Linked DNA regions of Saccharomyces cerevisiae S288C. Changing the gene in region 2 together with the main gene of any one other region gives a genetic interaction. Each region holds a gene or a part of one and is shown on either strand. Other genes may lie near its edges.

The links.
Region 1: mutations in SNC2 (region 2) and GCS1 together harm fitness more than expected from each alone (negative genetic interaction), as found in Saccharomyces cerevisiae (4 studies listed by BioGRID, with this or other methods).
Region 3: mutations in SNC2 (region 2) and BNI1 are lethal when combined (synthetic lethality), as found in Saccharomyces cerevisiae (4 studies listed by BioGRID, with this or other methods).
Region 4: mutations in SNC2 (region 2) and SRO7 together harm fitness more than expected from each alone (negative genetic interaction), as found in Saccharomyces cerevisiae (3 studies listed by BioGRID).

What each region holds. Positions count from the first base shown.
Region 1 is NC_001136.10:50,287-53,938, reverse strand, and holds GCS1 (GTPase-activating protein GCS1), read left to right. Parts: upstream 1-1,765; coding exon 1,766-2,824; downstream 2,825-3,652. Other genes in the region: septin SHS1, read right to left, coding at 1-1,494. UniProt on the Saccharomyces cerevisiae protein: GTPase-activating protein (GAP) for ARF1 and ARF2. Involved in intracellular vesicular transport. Required for transport from the trans-Golgi network.
Region 2 is NC_001147.6:929,817-932,599, forward strand, and holds SNC2 (SNAP receptor SNC2), read right to left. Parts: upstream 1,266-2,783; coding exon 918-1,265; downstream 1-917. Other genes in the region: MYO2 (myosin 2), read left to right, coding at 1-629; ATP-binding cassette multidrug transporter PDR10, read left to right, coding at 1,987-2,783. UniProt on the Saccharomyces cerevisiae protein: SNC1 and SNC2 are vesicle-targeting proteins essential for normal secretory traffic between the Golgi and the plasma membrane. They may also be involved in vesicle fusion.
Region 3 is NC_001146.8:128,967-136,979, forward strand, and holds BNI1 (formin BNI1), read right to left. Parts: upstream 6,418-8,013; coding exon 556-6,417; downstream 1-555. Other genes in the region: guanine nucleotide exchange factor SEC2, read right to left, coding at 1-118; arginine permease ALP1, read right to left, coding at 6,974-8,013. UniProt on the Saccharomyces cerevisiae protein: Required for the assembly of F-actin structures, such as actin cables and stress fibers. Nucleates actin filaments. Binds to the barbed end of the actin filament and acts as a leaky capper, slowing both polymerization and depolymerization.
Region 4 is NC_001148.4:632,394-638,006, reverse strand, and holds SRO7 (Rab GTPase-binding protein SRO7), read right to left. Parts: upstream 3,885-5,613; coding exon 783-3,884; downstream 1-782. Other genes in the region: HTS1 (histidine--tRNA ligase), read left to right, coding at 1-628; NTO1 (Nto1p), read right to left, coding at 4,246-5,613. UniProt on the Saccharomyces cerevisiae protein: Acts as an allosteric regulator of polarized exocytosis by promoting the targeted fusion of vesicles with the plasma membrane.

The DNA.
Region 1 (3,652 bases), on a different chromosome or scaffold from region 2:
TTCTAATTCTTGAATTCTTTTTTGTAATTCTTTAGCTGACTGGGCCTCTAACTCTTCCAGTTTTTGTTGTCTTGCTAAAATTCTTTCATGTCTCAAGACATATGGAACGGTTTCTGAAATATTTCTTAACTTGGTACGCTCTGGTAAGTCCGGAGAGTTCAAGAATTTTGGTGAAGATTCTGTTTTGATAGATCTTATCAAATTTTCATTTTCTTGTTTTATTTCTCTACCCAACTGTCTCACGGGAGACATTTCCTGTTCATTTTCTGCTGAATCATGTTCGCCATTGTCTTCGTATTCGTTTTCCTTAAAGTTTCCACTTACTTGGTTTCTTGGTGTGTCCGCTCTCAAATTGTTTGCAAGAGTTTGAGAAGAATTGAATTGACCAGTGCTTATCAAAGAGGCAAAGTTGCTTAAACTTGGAGCATTTGACTGTCTCTTTGTAGAATTAGGACCAATTTCTTCAGCGTTGGCCACGGACGATAGTTTTTCGGAACGGTAATTCTCGTAAAGCAAATTTTGCGTGGTGTCTTTGAATTCTTGTAAGTGAGAACCAAACAGGACGTTTTTTAAAACTTTCAAATCCGAAATTTTGTCGTCGTCGATTGATATTATCCCCCACGGATACTCCCTAACGTATCTACCTTCACTATCTCTGGTATCTGAAGTTATAATAGCAAATGGTTGCAAGGATGCCAAGGCTTGATTCTCTTCCATGGATTCCAAATCATCATCTTCAGGGTCAACCTCAAATTTGTAAATTGGGACGTTGTATCTTTCCACATCAAACATAATATTTTTCCTGAATTGAGTTAGCTCCTCCTTGGTGAATGAGTCAGCTCTTGTTATTATTGGCAGTACATTTGTGTATTTGGAGATGCTTTTCATGAGCTCTACATCGACTTCTCTCAGACCGTGTCCAGTGGGTTCAATAAAATATAATGCTACGTGAACCCTGGTGTCCTCAAACCTCGGATTCCTTTTAATTCTGGTTTCCTCAGCTAAAACAATGTCAAATTGTTGTTCTAAATACGACATAACTTCCTCAGAACACAACGAATCGTCCAAGTTTTCGCCTATACCATGCGTCATAATCAAGTTGAAAAACACGGTATCATCCTCGTTCATTTCTGGCTTTCCTTGATCTTTGTTGCCCCCAAGTTCTAATGAAGTGGAGGTGATGGTAATACCTGGTTCCAAATTGGCTCTCATTGGATCGAATTCAGAAACATAAGATGGAATCCCATTTTTCGAATTAAATGAAACAACTTTTGTCGGAGCAATAACTTTTACTTCTGGGTTAGAGCTAATACTAGCATTTGATTTACCGTATTGATACTTATGCGGAAAGATCTTAGTTTCCAATAGATTGTTAGCAAAGGCGGTCTTTCCTGTACCTGCTGGCCCACATAGTAACATTGTGTATGTGATCCCACGTTTATGTTCTTTCTTTCTACGAAATAAGTTAATTGGCGGTGTTGAAGCAGTGCTCATGATTAATAATATATTTTTCTAGCAATTATAAGCAGATCTTTGGGGCTCTTGTTTTATTATTTCACTTGCTGGGTACATTGATCTTGCTCGAAAGCTTGTTATATTCTTTTCGCAGTTTGGCACTTTAAAAATCGCGCGGTTACCCGCAAGCAACGCCAGTTTTTGTCAAGAACCAAATTGCACAACTATATCAAGAATGAAAGCAGAAATATGGACGTGATTCTGAGTTTAAATGGTGCCAATTGAGCAATTTTATCGCGGATTATAGAGCATGTCAGATTGGAAAGTGGACCCAGATACCCGCAGGCGTCTTTTGCAATTGCAAAAGATTGGTGCAAATAAGAAATGTATGGATTGTGGTGCGCCAAATCCACAATGGGCCACGCCTAAGTTTGGAGCTTTCATTTGCCTTGAATGTGCCGGTATCCATAGAGGGCTTGGTGTGCATATATCTTTTGTAAGATCTATCACTATGGATCAGTTTAAACCGGAGGAACTTCTTCGTATGGAAAAAGGTGGTAACGAACCTTTGACTGAATGGTTCAAGTCGCATAATATTGACCTGAGTTTACCACAAAAAGTGAAATACGATAACCCCGTCGCAGAGGATTATAAAGAAAAGTTAACATGTCTTTGCGAAGATAGAGTATTTGAAGAGCGTGAGCATTTGGATTTTGATGCTTCCAAGTTATCAGCAACCTCTCAAACCGCTGCATCCGCTACGCCTGGTGTTGCTCAAAGTCGAGAAGGGACACCACTGGAGAACCGTCGATCTGCAACACCAGCAAACTCTAGTAATGGTGCCAATTTTCAAAAGGAGAAGAACGAAGCTTATTTTGCTGAGCTGGGCAAGAAGAACCAATCTAGACCAGATCATTTGCCCCCTTCTCAAGGTGGTAAATATCAGGGCTTTGGAAGTACACCCGCAAAACCTCCACAAGAACGGTCTGCAGGGTCCAGCAATACTTTGAGCCTGGAAAATTTTCAAGCTGATCCTTTGGGAACATTGAGCAGAGGATGGGGCCTCTTCTCCAGCGCTGTAACCAAATCGTTCGAGGACGTAAACGAAACGGTTATTAAGCCTCACGTCCAGCAATGGCAATCCGGAGAGTTGTCAGAAGAAACGAAGAGAGCAGCTGCCCAGTTTGGCCAAAAGTTTCAAGAAACGAGTAGTTATGGATTCCAAGCATTTAGTAACTTCACTAAAAATTTCAATGGTAATGCAGAGGATAGCTCTACAGCAGGGAATACAACCCATACAGAATATCAAAAGATTGATAATAACGATAAGAAGAATGAACAGGACGAGGACAAATGGGACGATTTCTAATTTTAATATAGTTTTTCTCAACATTCAAGGAAAGTTCAATTCACATTGTAGCTATAATGGAGAAGTGGTTCTGTAAAGTTTACACGTAATACTTCTGTCTCTAAATTTGTATTTTTCATATCTTGACAAGAAGAGGTTTACTCTCTAGGATTATAAATAAGTCTACACCAGTATTCATAAATAGTTACCACAAGGCCATATCGTAAATTATTATACAACCTATTAATTACAAATAGAATTGCAATCCTTTCCCATCGGCGTTGTTGTACTGTTGCAAGGCTAATGACGGCTATTATTAAAAAATGTTTTAGACCTGGGACAATCGTTATCCTTTTCTTCATTATTTGGATGTTTGCGCCTTAAAATTATCCTGGGCACGAGTGAAACAAAGCTAAAACCTTTATTTAGCATGGCCATTGAATGTAACAATTATATATATCGCAAGCACAAAAAATCAAGGAGAGAGAACTACCACTTTGTTCATGTGTACAATGTTCATTATCTCCATAAGCAAAAAAAAAAAATAGAAAACATATGCTATAAGGTTGATATTCTCACGAGTAAGCGGCACTTGCTACTTATTGACATTGCAGATTTTTGGCTACAGAAATAGTATATTAGAGATTATAATTGCTAATCAAATCAAAATATAAAATTAGTAAACCAAACCATTTATACCCTTCCTTAGTAGTTATGGATTGTTTTTTAATGATATTTCTGCAAACCAAAGAAAGATTGTTATCCAGATAGAATTTAGTTTTGATATTCATTTTTTTGTTGAAGATTGAACGCCATATCTGGGCCTCATAATTCAAAAGACGGTGCCAT
Region 2 (2,783 bases):
ACTGGTGCATGAAATCTTTTCATATTGAGAATGAAGTGTTCCATGCTGTAGTCACAACCTTATTGAATTATGTGGATGCAATTTGTTTTAACGAATTAATCATGAAACGTAATTTCTTGTCGTGGAAAAGGGGTCTTCAATTGAACTACAACGTTACTAGATTAGAGGAATGGTGCAAGACGCATGGCTTGACAGATGGTACTGAGTGCTTACAACATTTGATTCAGACCGCTAAGCTACTGCAAGTCCGTAAGTATACTATCGAAGACATTGATATCTTAAGAGGAATTTGTTATTCGCTAACACCTGCACAATTGCAAAAATTGATTTCACAATACCAGGTGGCAGACTATGAGTCTCCAATTCCACAGGAAATCTTAAGATACGTTGCTGATATAGTTAAGAAAGAAGCTGCGTTATCTTCATCAGGTAATGATTCTAAGGGTCACGAGCATAGCAGCAGTATATTTATCACTCCAGAAACAGGTCCATTTACTGACCCATTCAGTTTGATAAAGACAAGAAAATTTGACCAAGTAGAAGCCTATATACCAGCGTGGTTATCCTTGCCCTCAACTAAGAGAATAGTTGACCTTGTTGCCCAACAAGTCGTTCAAGACGGCCACTAAAACTGATGGCGCGAGAAACAAAATTGTACATGAATGCTAAAAAAAGAAATGACAAAAAAAGAGAAAAAAAAAAATGAAACTACATAGTTAATTAATAATAGAAGTATTTGTCAATAGTATGATAATGAAATCGATATTATGGAAGATATTAACCGCGCGCCGTATTAGTGTACACTATATTAAACTACATTTTGCTTCTTACTGAATTTATAAATTATGATTATATTATTATTACTATTATGACTACTGTATATATTTTTTAGAATTAGCATCGGGAACCGATGAGCGTTAGCTGAAATGGACGACGATAGGAACGATAATTACCACTAGTAAAATAATAACAACTAAGAATAAACACATTCTCATTTTTAGATCTTTCCACCACATTTGCTTTCTGACCCTGTTGGCGCCTCTCTTGAATCCTTGTGCGGAGATAGCCAAGTTATCAGCTTTGTCCTCAATGGATGTTAGCCTTTCACCACGTTCAGCAACCTTGTTGATATTATCTCTCATTATTCCCACCGTGTCATCAATCTCTTGTCTCAAAGCAGCAGTCTTGTTTTGGGAATTTGGGTTTGCGCCTGAGTTACTCTCCTCTGGAGGCACATATGGATCGTATGGCACTGATGACGACATCGTTGCGCGTTCTTATTTTGTATTTGGAAGTGTTTCGAATGTATGCCTGACTTACAGATACTATTCACTGAGCAGATAGTTTACCTTTCTATAAAATATTAAAGGCTGTTTCAACCAAAACTTGAAGGAAAACTAACTGGCTCCCCGCTTTTGCATCTTTTGGGTGCGACAACTGGTGTTTGTTTGGTTGCGCTGCACCATTCGCGCTATAATGCCAAAATCCGAAGAATTTTGAGCCACTTTTGCGGAAGACAGGGAGAAAAAATAAAAAAAAAGTCACGCGTATATCATGTGACCAAGATCACTATAAACGCTCCGTGGAATGCGCTTTTAGGGCGACTGAATGATTCCATGGTCATTGTTACAGCCGCCCGTGGCTTTGTTCCACGGACTGATAAAGGGATACGCTAAGACCAGAAAAACCCTTAATATTCAATATAGTACAGTACTACTACAGAATTGGTCGGCATATTTTTATTTTGTTCGTATTAATAATACACCTGCTGTCATCAGTACCAATAATTTGATAGGTTTTCCCCACATAGTGCGCCTTATGTAAGTATATAAGGAAGGACGGTTGGGCAAGCATCTTACTTTCTTATCTCTCCCCGTGACAGAACCATAGAAGATATCTAGCGTTATTATATTTCTATACTTAGTAAACGTTTCCGGTATAGTAGAAAAATCAAACAATAATTTCTGGTCTTACATAGTTGTTAGGATGTTGCAAGCGCCCTCAAGTTCAAACTCGGGTTTGAATCAAGGAAATGCTGCGCCGGACGGCCCACCTAACGAAACACAGCCGTACGAAGGCCTCGACGCGGCAGCTCAAGAAGAAATAAAAGAATTGGCAAGAACGCTGACGAGCCAATCTTCCCTTTTATCGCAAGAAAAGCGTATTACCGGCACTGGCGACCCGAATACACTAACTGCTGCTTCTTCATCGTCATTGAGCCGGTCAATTTTCGCTAGTGATATCAAGGGAGTTAACCCAATCCTTTTGGACGTCAATGATCCAGACTACGATGAGACATTGGATCCTCGATCAGAAAATTTCTCGAGTGTCAGATGGGTACGAAATATGGCACAAATATGCGAGAATGATTCGGATTTCTATAAACCGTTTTCATTAGGTTGCGCCTGGAAAGATTTGAGTGCCTCCGGTGATTCTGCCGATATAACATATCAGGGAACATTTGGTAATATGCCCATCAAATACTTGAAAATGAGTTGGAGGTGCATATCCCGACGTCTTTTCCACCGGACACATGGCAAGAGTGAAGATAATGACTCCGGTTTCCAAATTTTGAAGCCGATGGACGGATGCATCAATCCGGGGGAACTACTTGTTGTGCTTGGACGACCCGGTGCAGGATGTACTACGCTGCTGAAATCTATATCTGTAAATACACACGGATTCAAGATTTCTCCGGACACAATCATCACGTACAATGGATTCTCCAACAAAGAGATCAAAAACCATTACCGTGGTGAAGTGGTCTACAATGCAGAATCAGA
Region 3 (8,013 bases), on a different chromosome or scaffold from region 2:
TTAAGGATTTATTAAGCTGTTCTTCTAAGTGTGACTGTTTATCCACGCTCTCGATCAATTGCGTAGACAGGGATGTAACCTGTATTGATACTCTTTTTGCTTCCTCAGAAGCATCCATATTGAAACCTTTATCAAACACAGCTAGTAAAGGAAAATATATCCCAGTGAACTAAAGGTCAAAATTTTCTACAACTTTTGGATGGAAATCAACGTTGCTACAGCTGCAAGTGACAAATGATATTATTGCACGAATCACTGTGCTTGTCACTTAGGTAAACGAGAGCCATGTTTTAAAGGTGCTTCAGCGAACGCGAAATACAAGTTCCGGGTAGTCACATGGAAACAATGGCACATAATAAAAGGAATTATTTCAAAAATGCAATAGTAGAGATCATTTGAGTAAAGATGAATGTAAAGTGTATCATAAGTGATCTATAAACATTAAAATTATATATATATATGTGATTTAATGATTCGTGACTATTTCTTTGTACTAGTGCTTGTTTGGATGTTTGTTTTGGTATTACTGTTGTCATAATTTTTTGGTTTAATATTTTATTTGAAACTTAGCCTGTTACCTGTGCTAGCCTCACCTATGGATCTTTCCTTGCGGGCCCTCAATTTTTCTAGATGTTCATCGAGTATGGAATTTTGCTTTACTGGTGTGTCAGAGCCTCTTAGCTCCTTTAATAACATTCTAGCTCTGTCACTAATTTCCTCTTGATCTTCCAGCGCAGATGTCTTGGATGGCGATGGTAAATCTTCAGAGGTATTCATAACACCCCTTGTGGCAAGCGGAGTGGGTGATTCAGCGTGAATCACTGTATCGGCAGTAGGGTCCATAGCTTCTGGAGAATAAAGAATAGACCCTTCTTCAGTATCCAAATCGTTGAGTAATTGTGGAGCGTTGTCTTTTTCAGAAAGATATTTTTTCCTCACTAGGGCTCTCTTTCTGGCGGAAGATGGGTCACTTTTAGCAGGACCTGCATTTTTCAACTGTTCTAATAGTTTATCCATAACAGCGCGCCTATCTTCTGCTTCATCCTCTTCATTTCCTTCAGATGAAGGCGAATTGCTGTTCTCTTTTTGTTTTTCCTTTTCTTGTGCCCTTTTTTGCTGTTCTTCCACTATTTTCTTATGCTTTATATAAAGTCTTTCTTCTTCTTCCGCGGCTAGATTTTGCGCTTGAGCTTTTTTGTATTCATTTATAAAATCTGCAAATTTCTTAAAGAATGAGATTTTTGCAAACTTATCACCAGAATCTTCACCGTACGTATGCATCAGACTTTCAAATTCCATGATAGTCAGCTTAACTTCGTCTTCTAACAAGTCCCCCTTTTTTCTGGCTTCCGGTAACACGGGCAATGTTTTTATCAAAACTTTATCTAATGGATGAAACTTTGAGGAATCGCTTAAATTACCAATTTCAACTGAACGCTCTACGTTTACAATCGATTGGCTAAAGTCCTTACAGTCGTTAACTAACTGCTCAATGGAAACTTTCACGACATCCAATACAGGTTCTAATTCACTTAGAAAGTCATTGAAGCTTGGATAATTTAACCTGACAATTTTTTCGACGTAATTTAGAAAGGTCATGCTATTGGTAGTATCCTTGATAAACGTCAACCTCTGCAAGGTTGAAAGTTTGAAACCTTGTGCCTGCTTAGAAGTGTCGTTCATGAAATTACCAACTGCTAAGATAACATTAAAGACATTGCGCAAGTTATCTGATTCTTGAAGCGCGCTAACAGCTTTGTCGACTTTTCTTAACTTTGCCAATAACTCATTATATTCTCTTTCATACGAAGTAACCACTGTGAGAGCTCTCATACGTGAACCCCAGTATGATTCTAGATTAACCATCAATTGCAAATAAATTTGGTCAGCCCTCTGTAAATCGTTTGGATCTTTTTCAGGGGGCTTGGCATCTTCGAGATTCCTCACGCCCTCCCAGTCTGTCGAATACGGGGCGTAATTCCTAGCTAAATTAACAGAAACTTCAATTATTTCAGATTTTGACAAAAACTCAACAACACTCGGTGTTTGCAAAAAATCCCTATCGCAGTTTAGAATCTTTTTCACCAGATCGGCAACCGAAAGTGATGAATACATATGCAAATTGATACCAAACTGTTGAGAAATATCCCTGGATAAAAATGTAATTTTCTGCAGATCTTCCTTGCGCTTGCTTGCTAATGATTTAATTTCCCTAGCGGCAAAGGCCTTTTCTAAATCAGCAAGAACACCCTTTTCGTATAAGTCATCTGCGAACTTCTCAGCTTTACCTGTACCCCAAATAGAATTATCAGTACAATCTAATTTTTCCCAATGCAGTTGCTTTAATTTCTTGTGTGGACGAGGATACTTTTCAAATAATGAGGGCGATTGAGGAAGTAATGGTGATGTTACAGCTGATTTGATTTGCGATGCCGGCATCATAGGTGGAGCTGGCGGAATGACGCCATCAGTAGATGAAGATAATACAGATGGTAGCGGCGGCGGTGGTGGTGTTTCTCCCTTGGGTTTGCCGAACAATGCCATGGGTGGAGGAGGAGGTGGTGGTGGTGGAGGGGGAGGAGCAGGAGAATCCCCAGTAGTTTCTTGCTTGACAGTGTCGTCTTCCGACTTTTTCTCTTTCTCCAACGATTCACCGAACAATTTGGCGGGAACTGGAGGAGGAGGAGGAGGAGGCGGTGGCGGCTGTGAGGAGAGTACAGATGATTGAGTAGAGAGATCTTCTGCGCCATCTGTATTATTCAGTTTACTCACAGCGCTGAAATCCGCTGTTTTATCTTCTTCATGATTTACCACACGCCCTTGCTTTCCGTTTTCCACATGTTGTCTCATGTCTTTCTCAGCTTTGTCAAAGGCGGAAGCTGCACTTGCCGTGCTGTTTTCCGGTAAAGATTTTTTATCTAGACCTTCATCTTCATTTTGTTCATATGGTTCAACTTTATTTACCTTCTGTGTTAACTCCTCTAAATATGGAGCAGAAGACACGGTGGATTTTCTGAGTCTGTTCATAAAGGTCTTTTCAACTTTACTATGTAGAGGTCCAATACCCGAACCGTTATTGTTCTCTCCAAAAGCAGCCGATGCAGTAACATTTTGACCAGTACCATATTTTTGAGATAAGGCATCGAGAAAAGACCCAGGACCTGATCCTGAAGATAGCTCTGAGTGTTCGCTCCTTAGTTCTTGAGTTGGAGATGCGTCTTGGTATATTTCCTCACTTTCATCATCAGAACTTGAAGAGGAAAGATCGCTTTCCCCATCTTCTTCTACTTGTATTTCGTGTTCGGTTTGAGTCTGAATATCTAACAACTGGTCCGTTATTCTATTAATCTCGTCTAACTTTTTCTGATATGTCTTAGGGTCAAGACTGGCATAGTTAGCGTCTTCTTCCGTTTCCACGTCCCCAGTATTTTTCTTTGGACTGTCCATAATCTCGTCGACATTAAAGTCAATACCAAATCCTTTGTATTTTGTTTCTAGTTCTTTCAGTCTCTTTAAAGCCAGAGATTTCTTTTCATTAAATAGCTCATTAACACGTTCTTCGACGTTAAATTTGGAAATATCATTACTTTCCATTTGGATTTCAGCCAAAGCCCGCCTTAGGTCATTTAGTTTATTTACGTCCGCCTCTTGAGGCTTGACTAAAGGTTTCCTATCCTTATTTTTCATCTTCTTCACTTTGGGCTTCTTAATATGTATTGGAGGTTCAAGACGATCTTTCTCAAATTCAGCAAAATTTGTCATCTCTAGTTGCCTGGCTTCATTTTCAATATTTTCCATTTGCATTCTTAACATTTTTAATCTCTTATTAGGTTGAAGTGTCATGCCGAATTTTTTTGAATCATCCTTGTAATCCTTTTTTGCTCTTGATAATCCGTCCTGTAACACCTTTTGGATATTCGCTTTCTCTGAAGAATTTAGGCTCGAGTTCATACCTCTGGTGCCTTCATTCTTATTGAAGCTTTCTTCAGGCCTCGAATTCAATATAGTCAACATTTTTCTCAATTCTACCTCTTGCTGATGCTTTTCCAAAAGATGCTTCTTTTTCAACTCTTCTAACTCAGCTTCCAGCTGCTGCATAACTCTCTGATTCTTAGCTAAAATACGATCTCTCTCATGCAACTCATCTTCTAACTGTCCAACGAGTCCGTGCTCCGCCTTGCTTAACTTTTCACTTAAAGAATCCCTTTCTGCCTGAATTTCTTCCAATTTCTTCGTTAGAGCTCTACTTTCTAATATAGCTCGACGTGCAACTTCATCAGTCTGCATGGCATCGTAAAGCCGCTGGATAGCCATATTCATATTAGTTTCTTCATCAGAAGTTGAGGCAACACTAACATTAGTCACCAAAGAATCCATAAGTTTCAATTGCTTAGTAAGTTTAGAGGAATTTTGGTTTTCTTCTATTAACTTTGAACTAGAAAGGAAAAGATGTTGAACTAAAGATACTAAAAGCTTTTCATTCTCGGTACCTTTACATATATCCCAAAGGTTTTTTAATAATGATAGTGGATCGTGTAAATCTACATTAAAAGCCTTATTGTTGGCCTCTAATTTAACGTTAAAATCGTCAAGTTTATTATTGTCATATAACTCAATTTGGTCAATTACCTTGTCGTAATCTAGCAGTTTTATTTTGTTCATAATTCGTAAAATTCCACAATTTTCTAGTTTCGTCCTTAATAGCATTCTTTGATTTATGTTATCAGAGCAAGAGCATAAATGATTGATAAAAACCATTGTCCATTGGCAGTATTCTAGAATCGCATTTTCACCCCCACCATTTTTAAATTCATCCGACGCGCCTACTAAGGAACCCATTTTTCCTCTTCCATCTAAAGTTTGTTCAACGGCAAATAACCAGGCTTGAATAATTTTCAAATGACTTTCCAAGGTTAAATGAGAGAAATACTGGGGCATTTTTTTGAAGTTTTGAATCATATGAAGATTTTGCCCTATCCTAAACTTTTTATCTAGTGAGGTAAGAACTGCTTCGAATCTGCTTTTATTTTTTTTTTCTAGCATACAAACAAAAATTTCAGTGGCCATTTTCCTTGTGGCCAGTTTCGTAGAGAATAAACCTTCTGCAACAGTATCAGTCATTAACCTATGTGTACTGAACTCATACAAACCTTGTGAGAGCATTGATAAGACTCTGAAGCATTTAAAAAATGAATTTTCTTTCTCTAATAATTCTTTAGTCAAGTTTTCTCGGGGTGCAGTCTTATAAATAGAGTTCATTAGTACATTAGCCATAGCAATGTGACCCTGATGGTCTATAAAAGCGTCTACCCAGTCTAACTGTTCAGTTCTTAAAGTTACCCATAAATCTTTCATCTCATCGCTAGTAAGTTTGTCTGCCAGGATTCGTTGCACATAATGTATCGGTGGTCTGTTTGTTCTGTCTCCTGGAAGAGTAGATGCACTCGTATTGTTCTCAGCCCCACCTCTATAAATATTGTTTAGAGATGGCTGCTTTTTCAAACTCCCGCTCACTAATTTTTTCCCCTTCGAGGTTGACGTACCTACCGATGAAAGAGTAGTAGAATGATTTAAACTGTTGCTGTATACAGTTGAGGTGGGAGAAGAGGCGCTTGTCATCAAAACAGATTTGGGAGACGAAAGAGATGAATTAGCCGTAAGGATAGGATGATGGTCCGACGCCATCGAAGTTCTGGAGGCAGTGGAAGAAGATGTAGTGTTTGCTCGCATTTTTTTTAGCTCATTTTGTAAATCCTGCTTAACAATCAGCCATTTCTTCTCAATGCTGTAGCCCATCAGAGCTTCTTGTTTGTCCTCTGATAAAGACTGAAAAATATTTCTTTTATACATAATATCTTCAAACAAAACTTCCACCTCGTATGGGTCCGACGGCATTTCTAAATAAATTTTACCATCGGGTGTAGTGAATTTGCTCAAGTTAGTTAGCGAACCTTGAGAGAGAAGACTTGATGCGGAGTGACTTTGCCCGGTATGCTGCCTTGTTAGCTTATTGGACGCCTGTGAAGAATTCCTCTTGGAATACGAATATTTCGATTGCATTGAATGCGACCTTGCGTGCTGTGAGGATACGGGAACATCTCCACTTAATTTACCATTCATATATTGAGACAAGTTTTGTGTGTTTAATGTCGATTTTTTATTCAACGGCCTCGCCTCAGTAGATGTAGACCTAGAAGGTGCATTCAGTTTTCTAAAAGATGACGAAGATGCAGGTGAAGTGGACACTTCGTTTCCCACTGGAGAGTGCTGTTGTTGGGATGCATAGGTCGGAGAACCCGTATTGCTATTCGTTGCATTTGAGTTAGCCAAACGCTTCAAATTTTGGAATATACCAGAACTCGAATTCGAATGACTTTCCTTTGAGTTCGAATGTTTGGAGCCTGAATTCTTCAACATTTCCTTTCCTTCTCTTCCTTTCTTGCTTCTCGTTTGTTGAAAAGGTTCAGGTGCCTTCTTTATGTGGCGTGTATTTAGAATTTAACTAGGCTTGAGTTAAAATGTTTCTCCTCAATACAGAAGATAGATACAAATGGCAAAAAAAAAAGTAAAAAATGGCCCAACTGTATGAGACGTATAAAAAACGTGAAGGGTGAAGAAAAGAATGCCACTGTCCAATTTTATGCTTAATACGAAAATAATTAACACACAGCCGTCAGTGTCCTCTTATCTGTAGGAAGGGTCCGTGCTATTGTTCTTAAAAGGGATTCTAGTTTTCCACATCTGTTTTTTCTTTCTTTCCCTCTTCCACGTCAAAAACTTCCTCTAACCGATGTCGGGTAAGCCATGGAAATTACGGGCGATGACTTTCGGCGGCTAACAACGAAACAACTAGGGAGTAATCATATAATCACAGGAAAAGAGTTGAGCAAGGATTTGGCAAATATACATATACATACATACATACATACATACATATATATGTGTGTGTGTGGTATGGAGTATTATTCTAAAATTATGAAAGGACATCCCAAACTCGTTGCCACCTTGTTTTACATTCTGGCTCTATCCATACCAACTCCTCTATTTGCCGGCGGTCAGAATCGATATCGATATCCTGCAGCTTCCAGAGTAAGCGGCACTTAAACCAAACTTGGAATGATAACCATATGGCCAAAAATAGGAATATTGATATATATGCAGCGACAAAGTCTATAGGCTGAAAAGTAGGTGCGAAAGCGGTGAAGCCCTGGATCAGAACAATTAGAGCGATGAAAAAAGATGCATAATATGCCAAAAAAGGCATCATTTGAGCTTTATAAGGTAAGTCATCCCTCGATATACCACGTTTCCTTATGGCTTGCATGAAACGGATATGAGAAAATGAAATCAAAAGCCAGGCAAAGAAACCGGCCACACCAGTTATGTTCAATAACCAGTTAAAGGCCTTGCCGCTGCCTGCAGAAACCTCTAAGAAAGCCAAAAATCCGAACACGGATGTAGATAGAACAGAAAAGTATGGAACACCACCTCTGGTCACGTTAGACAAGAACCTTGGCGCCAAGCTATTTTTAGACAGACTATACAGTACTCTTGAGCCAATGTACACATTAGAGTTACCTGCGGAAAGAATGGTGATTAGCACGACCGCGTTAAATATATCTGGGAGAACTTTTGTGCCTGAATTCTCAATGCTTATCATAAAGGGCGATGAAGAGACAAATATACCGTCACTATCCAACTTTGGGTCATTATATGGGACCAAAAGGCCAATGAAAAATAGTGAAAGAATGTAAAAGACTAGAATCCTCACTACAACTTTCTTTATTGCCCTCGGGAGAGCTTTTCTTGGGTTAGCCGCTTCACCAGCGGTTATCCCAACCAGTTCAGTACCTTGGTACGTAAATGCAGCATTAATCAAAGAGGAAACCCATCCGAGAAAACGGCCCTCATTTTTATCACTGGAGATAATGCCAGGCCCCCAGGCTCCTGGATTTCTCCAGTACCTGAAACCGATGGGTCCATCAGATTGTCCCGCACCACACACAACACAGA
Region 4 (5,613 bases), on a different chromosome or scaffold from region 2:
TGTTACTTCTGCATCTGCTCCACCAGAGAATGCTTCAGAATTGAAGAAGAAGGCCAAATCTGCAGAAGACGCGTCAGAATTCGTTGGTGTCGGCTCTATTGCAGCCGGTGGTCGATATGATAATTTGGTCAACATGTTCTCTGAAGCTTCCGGCAAAAAATCTACTCAAATTCCATGTGTTGGTATTTCATTTGGTGTTGAAAGAATATTTTCTTTGATCAAACAAAGAATTAATTCCTCTACAACTATAAAGCCAACGGCTACACAGGTGTTCGTTATGGCTTTTGGTGGTGGTAAGGACTGGACTGGTTATTTACCCGAAAGAATGAAGGTTACTAAGCAATTATGGGATGCTGGCATTGAAGCTGAATATGTCTATAAGGCCAAGGCTAATCCTAGGAAGCAATTCGATGCTGCTGAAAAAGCGGGTTGTCACATTGCCGTAATCCTCGGTAAGGAGGAGTACTTAGAAGGTAAATTACGTGTCAAAAGATTGGGCCAAGAATTTGCCGATGATGATGGTGAATTGGTTAGTGCGGCTGACATTGTTCCTATTGTTCAAGAAAAGTTATCACAAATTCATGAAGATGGTCTAAATGAGGTCACTCGTTTAATTAAAGGATTATAAACTTGATAGCTCATGTATTTACAAACCTTCGTAAAACTAGACATGTATAATGAAAAATAAATCGATTCAAATTAATTTATAAAGCATATAGAACTAAAAAAAAATAAGTATAGAAGGAAGTTGCTCATTACCCTGTATGAATTAGTGTATGTATTTAAAAACCAAGGGCACCTTTCATTACATCTTTTCCAGTCTGCTCAACAGCCTCGTTCATTGTTTCTCCCATGGCGGTAGCATAGTCGTTGAATCTATCTTCAACGGCGTCCCATCTAGTTTCTACAGCTCGAGAAACATTTCTTAGTACCCCGTAACTACTGTTCCTGCCCTTACGGGTGGGCTTGGTATACTGGTGTTCCGGATGGTTCGCATTATTATCGTCTGAAGAACGCTCCGAGAAACTTCCCTCAGCAATGATGCTCTCTTTGTATTTGGATGCAGGTCTATTCACGCCACCCAATAATTCATTTAATTGAGCGGGAGTACAATATACAGTGCCTCTTGCCCACTGTAATGAATTTACTTGTGGCCTATAGGGAATCCTGATTCCATTGATGTACAGTGTGTCAGAAACTGGCGCTAGCGTATCCTGTTCCTTGACAGTAGAAAATAGTGACGCCTGAAATTCACTCACTCGAATCGCTATATCACCATTTCTTAAAACAGATGATTCTGTAATGTATTTTGCGGCAATTGGAAATGGAATATGTTCAGACATTTGTTCTTTGAAATCTGGAATAGTAAAAACTCTTAGATGGCCATTGATTTCTAATGTAATTATTACGGTTAGGTTCTTCCTATCATTATTTTTCTCAACGGTTGAGATGTAAGATAAACCTGTCGCGGCAAGCGGGTATTTGAAACCTTTATGTGTACTTTTAGATTTGCCCAGTGTTATTAATCTGATATCATCGAATCCAGTTATTAATACAATACCAGGAATGCAAAGGCCTTTACTTAAATTCTGCATTTTTGGAATAGTTGCCAAGCAGCTAGATTTTGTTTCCTTTGAAAATGCATCAATTTTGTGTATCGGACCCTTACTGGTAACATTAGTAATATCCATTAGTTGCACATCGAACTTTCCACCTGATGCAGGAAGAATTTTGTATGTGATTACCTCGCCCATATCAGTACCACAGACCATCAATATACTAGAGTAACCATCGTCTCCATACTCCATAATTACGAATTCGATGCAGGTAACACATGCGCTTTGAGCTCCCGAGATTTCTCTAATGTTTTCCATGTAAATGATTGCAGGACCTCTTCTATCGATCAACATAAGGCTTCCGGCAGCATATGCGATTCCAACAAATCCAATATTACTGTTGTTGATTGCAGATGTTTTCCCTTTGTTGGCATGCACGGCAGTTGATGGCATAAATCCCTGCCTAACACCGGTAGGTGCCCTGTCTCTCACATCGACGAGAACACCATTCGTATTATTCAAAGAAAACCGCCTGAAATTCATCTCCAGGTCACCGCTTTCTGGTCTGTTCTCAACACTGTAAAACTGGTTTACTTCATATTTGAATAAAACAACGTCTCCTGTTTCAATTGACACCGCCAACTCGAGAGTCTCTGCGGCAAAAGATATCTTATCAACTGCTAGTTCTTTGGCCTTGTTCAACGTTCTTGATAGATTCACTTCAAAGCTAGCATTATCTTGTATATCCCCATGGGAAGCATCGTATATCCTAACTGAGCCATTAGAATGGCCGGTAATGAATGCTGTACCGTACTCAGCGGGAAGTTTTTGCCTTTTTGTTCTAACCCCTCCCTTCAACAAATAATCCTTGTTTTGAGCTGCAGAAAGCGCACCAAGCCATAATTTGTTTGGTACAGAAGCGGCCATTGAAGTCGTGGCTAATGGTCTCAGCCAGGAAAGATTTTGAGGGAATAAAGAGGCTTTATCTGTAAATATTCCAGAAGGATATAGCATTGTTTCTATCTCACCGTTACCTAGGATTAACAAAATTAACCCCGGATTATGACATCCTGCAAAATACGGGGACTGTCTTGGAATTGGTAGTATATTCACTATTGGCACATTGGTTGGTAAGGGAAATATCTTCATTTGTTTCGGATTTGCATAGTAGTTCTTCATACCTTCATAAGAGGTTATTGAATATCTAGGTGTGTAACCGAGGTCGATCATAGTGAGACTTTGATTATCTCCTCTGCTGATTGACTTATGAGAGATGAGTAGTGAAGTATATTCTGGATTGTTTTCACACATCCAATACACTTTCGAAATTTTGGCAGCATTAGTACTAGAATCGCGTATGTAATCAGGTTGTGGAACATTGATTTCTGTCTCAAACACTGTCCTTGCCATGATCATATGGCCTGAATTAGCATCCCAGAAAACCAAGGAATTGTCTTCATGAATAGTGATAATGTGCAGTGAATTAGGGTGATATAAGGACTGAATAACTTTGGGAGTTCTCTTTTCATTGGTTTTTTCTGAGAAGTCGCCTCCTGGAGCAAAAGGTGGTAATTCGTATATGAAGGATTGTTTGATTTCGTTCTCAACCAATGAGTATGTTAGAGTTACATACTCATATGATATTAAAACAGTTCCAATATCTCTAGGGTTCCACTGAATGGATACTATAGGTGATAGTCTTGCAGCCGGAAAAAATGAGCTTTTTTGTAGGTTGTCTAATTTGAAGGAGGAAAGTTGATCCCTATCTATGTCGTAAACTATCATTGAACCATTTTGAAGGCCGATTAGCATCCAGTCTAAGGATGCATCTGTGTCAATTGATGTTATTTTCCCCGGAACAAACACTGTTGTAAGTACTTTTTGAGAATATAACGATAAAACATACACAGTATCTTTTGCGTTAATGACCACCAAATAGATACCTTTCACAAATCTCATTTCTTTTATAGCAGATCTATCCTCCAGTTTTATAACCACTTCCACTTGTTGCTGGCCATAAATATGGACTTCCCCTGTGACTGTAGCAATTGCCAATAAATTTTGGGTGAAATCGAAAGCGGCTGCGATCGGTTTACTGCTCATCCCATATTTGTTGGTTTCTGCTAGTGAAAAAATTTTATTTTTGTTATTTGAACTTATAGGAATCTTCAAAGAAGAGGAAGATTTCGCATCTTTGGAAATAGTAGATGTCTTTGAATTTTTGGATTTAAAAGACGCCTTTGAGTTCTCAATGGGTGTCTCTGAATTTTGGCCTTTTAGGGACTTAAATGCTTCCTTAACATTTTTCAGACGTTTGCTACCGAACATTTTGTTTTGCTCTTATGTGTATAGAGAATTAGTCAGAAATAGTATTGCTTGCTCTTCTTGTTTTATATTTAACATATTCCAAGATTTAAATTCTAACGTGATTAGGTTCATTTCGTTTGAATTTTCATTTTTTACTTTTAACAAAAGCGCCGAACAGGATTCTAGAAATTAAACAAAACCAACTAAACTATAAAAACGGATATTTAGTTCGGTATTGAAATGCTAAAGAATAAAGAAAAGACGACCTTTCTAAGTTATTTTTACTAAGTGTTCCATGAAAGTAAATAATAAGCCAAACTTTTACAAGAATAGCATAAAAATACATACTCATTATACATAATGCAATATTAAAACCTTTATTTTATCCGCTGTTAAGGATTAGCTTCAGCATACGGTGTTCCCCTGCACTCAGTTCTTCTGCATCGCTTAAACCTTCTTCTTCCATAATCACCGGGCCACTCCATGGTCTTTCTTCTATCTTGTCATCATTTATTATAAAATCTCTGGATAGCAACTTCTTAATATCTACATGTTCTATGAGCCCAATTAAATTTGTTACTTGCTCTTTTGCCTTTGATGAGACAGTTTGGAGTATTCTTGATGCACCGGGTAGAGTTTCCAAAACCTCAAAAAAATGCATAATTTCCTCCTTAAAAATTTGGACAGTATCAAAATCACAATGTTTACACTTTTCTAAAATAACCAATAATTTAGGTTCAGTAACCAATCTTTCAAGAGCCTTGAATTGTTCAGATTTTATAAAGATATCCAGTACATTGATTTTTAAAAGATATTTTTGGGGCGATTTAACTATATCAAAAACCTTCTTTCGGGATCTGGACAAGCTGTTTGAAGCTTGTGTTCTCTTTTTCACCAAAGTAGTCAGCTCTTTGAGCCGGTACAAGTCTTCGAGCTGATCATTGGCAAAATCTATTCTTGTTTGCACTTGTTCCTCGGTTAAGGACCCCAATGAATTATTTTCAAAACAGGCAGTTAATGGGGTACCTCCTGTAAGCTCCCTTTTCATTGACCAATATTTGCAAATATCAAATGCGCCTGCTGGTGGGTTAGCTAAGCCAAAAAAATCAACGACCTTTTGCAATATTTCAGCAAAAACATGTGGTGCTACCGGCGTTTGATTAGGTGTTTTCCAAATTGTTTTGTTGAATTTTGAATTTGTCCTATCATTAGCTTCATTATGCTGAGGAGTTTCGGTTTGTAATGTAGAGAGTAGAGAGAAGTATTTTCTAGCTTTATTAATACCTTCTATACTCGTTTGCCATCCTCTAGGTGCATGCTTGTGGCAGAAACTTTCGACTGAATACTTTTGGGAGAATTGATTAGAGGCCAATTCTTGAATAGTGCATTTCCCTTTACTCATGTAGAGACCAGCTCGACGGGCACACGTGACATGATATGCTGTAAAACAGTTTCTTTGAAAGCACTGAATGCAAGCACCCATCTTCTTTTTACAGATGTAGCAGTTAAGTTTCCATCGTGATACGCTAACATTTTGAACGCCTTCTATAGGTTCCATATAATGTAAGTTTGAAAAGTATAGCTCTGGAAGCCATAGAGCACAAATGTTATGTACCCAAGAACCGGTGTCTGTTTGTTTGAATGCACCTGTATGACTTGGACACATTAGACAAGTGGCAAAGTTATTTTTTGAGATCATACATCGTCTACATAACCATTTTCCTTCCGGGATAAAAATTATACCGTAACA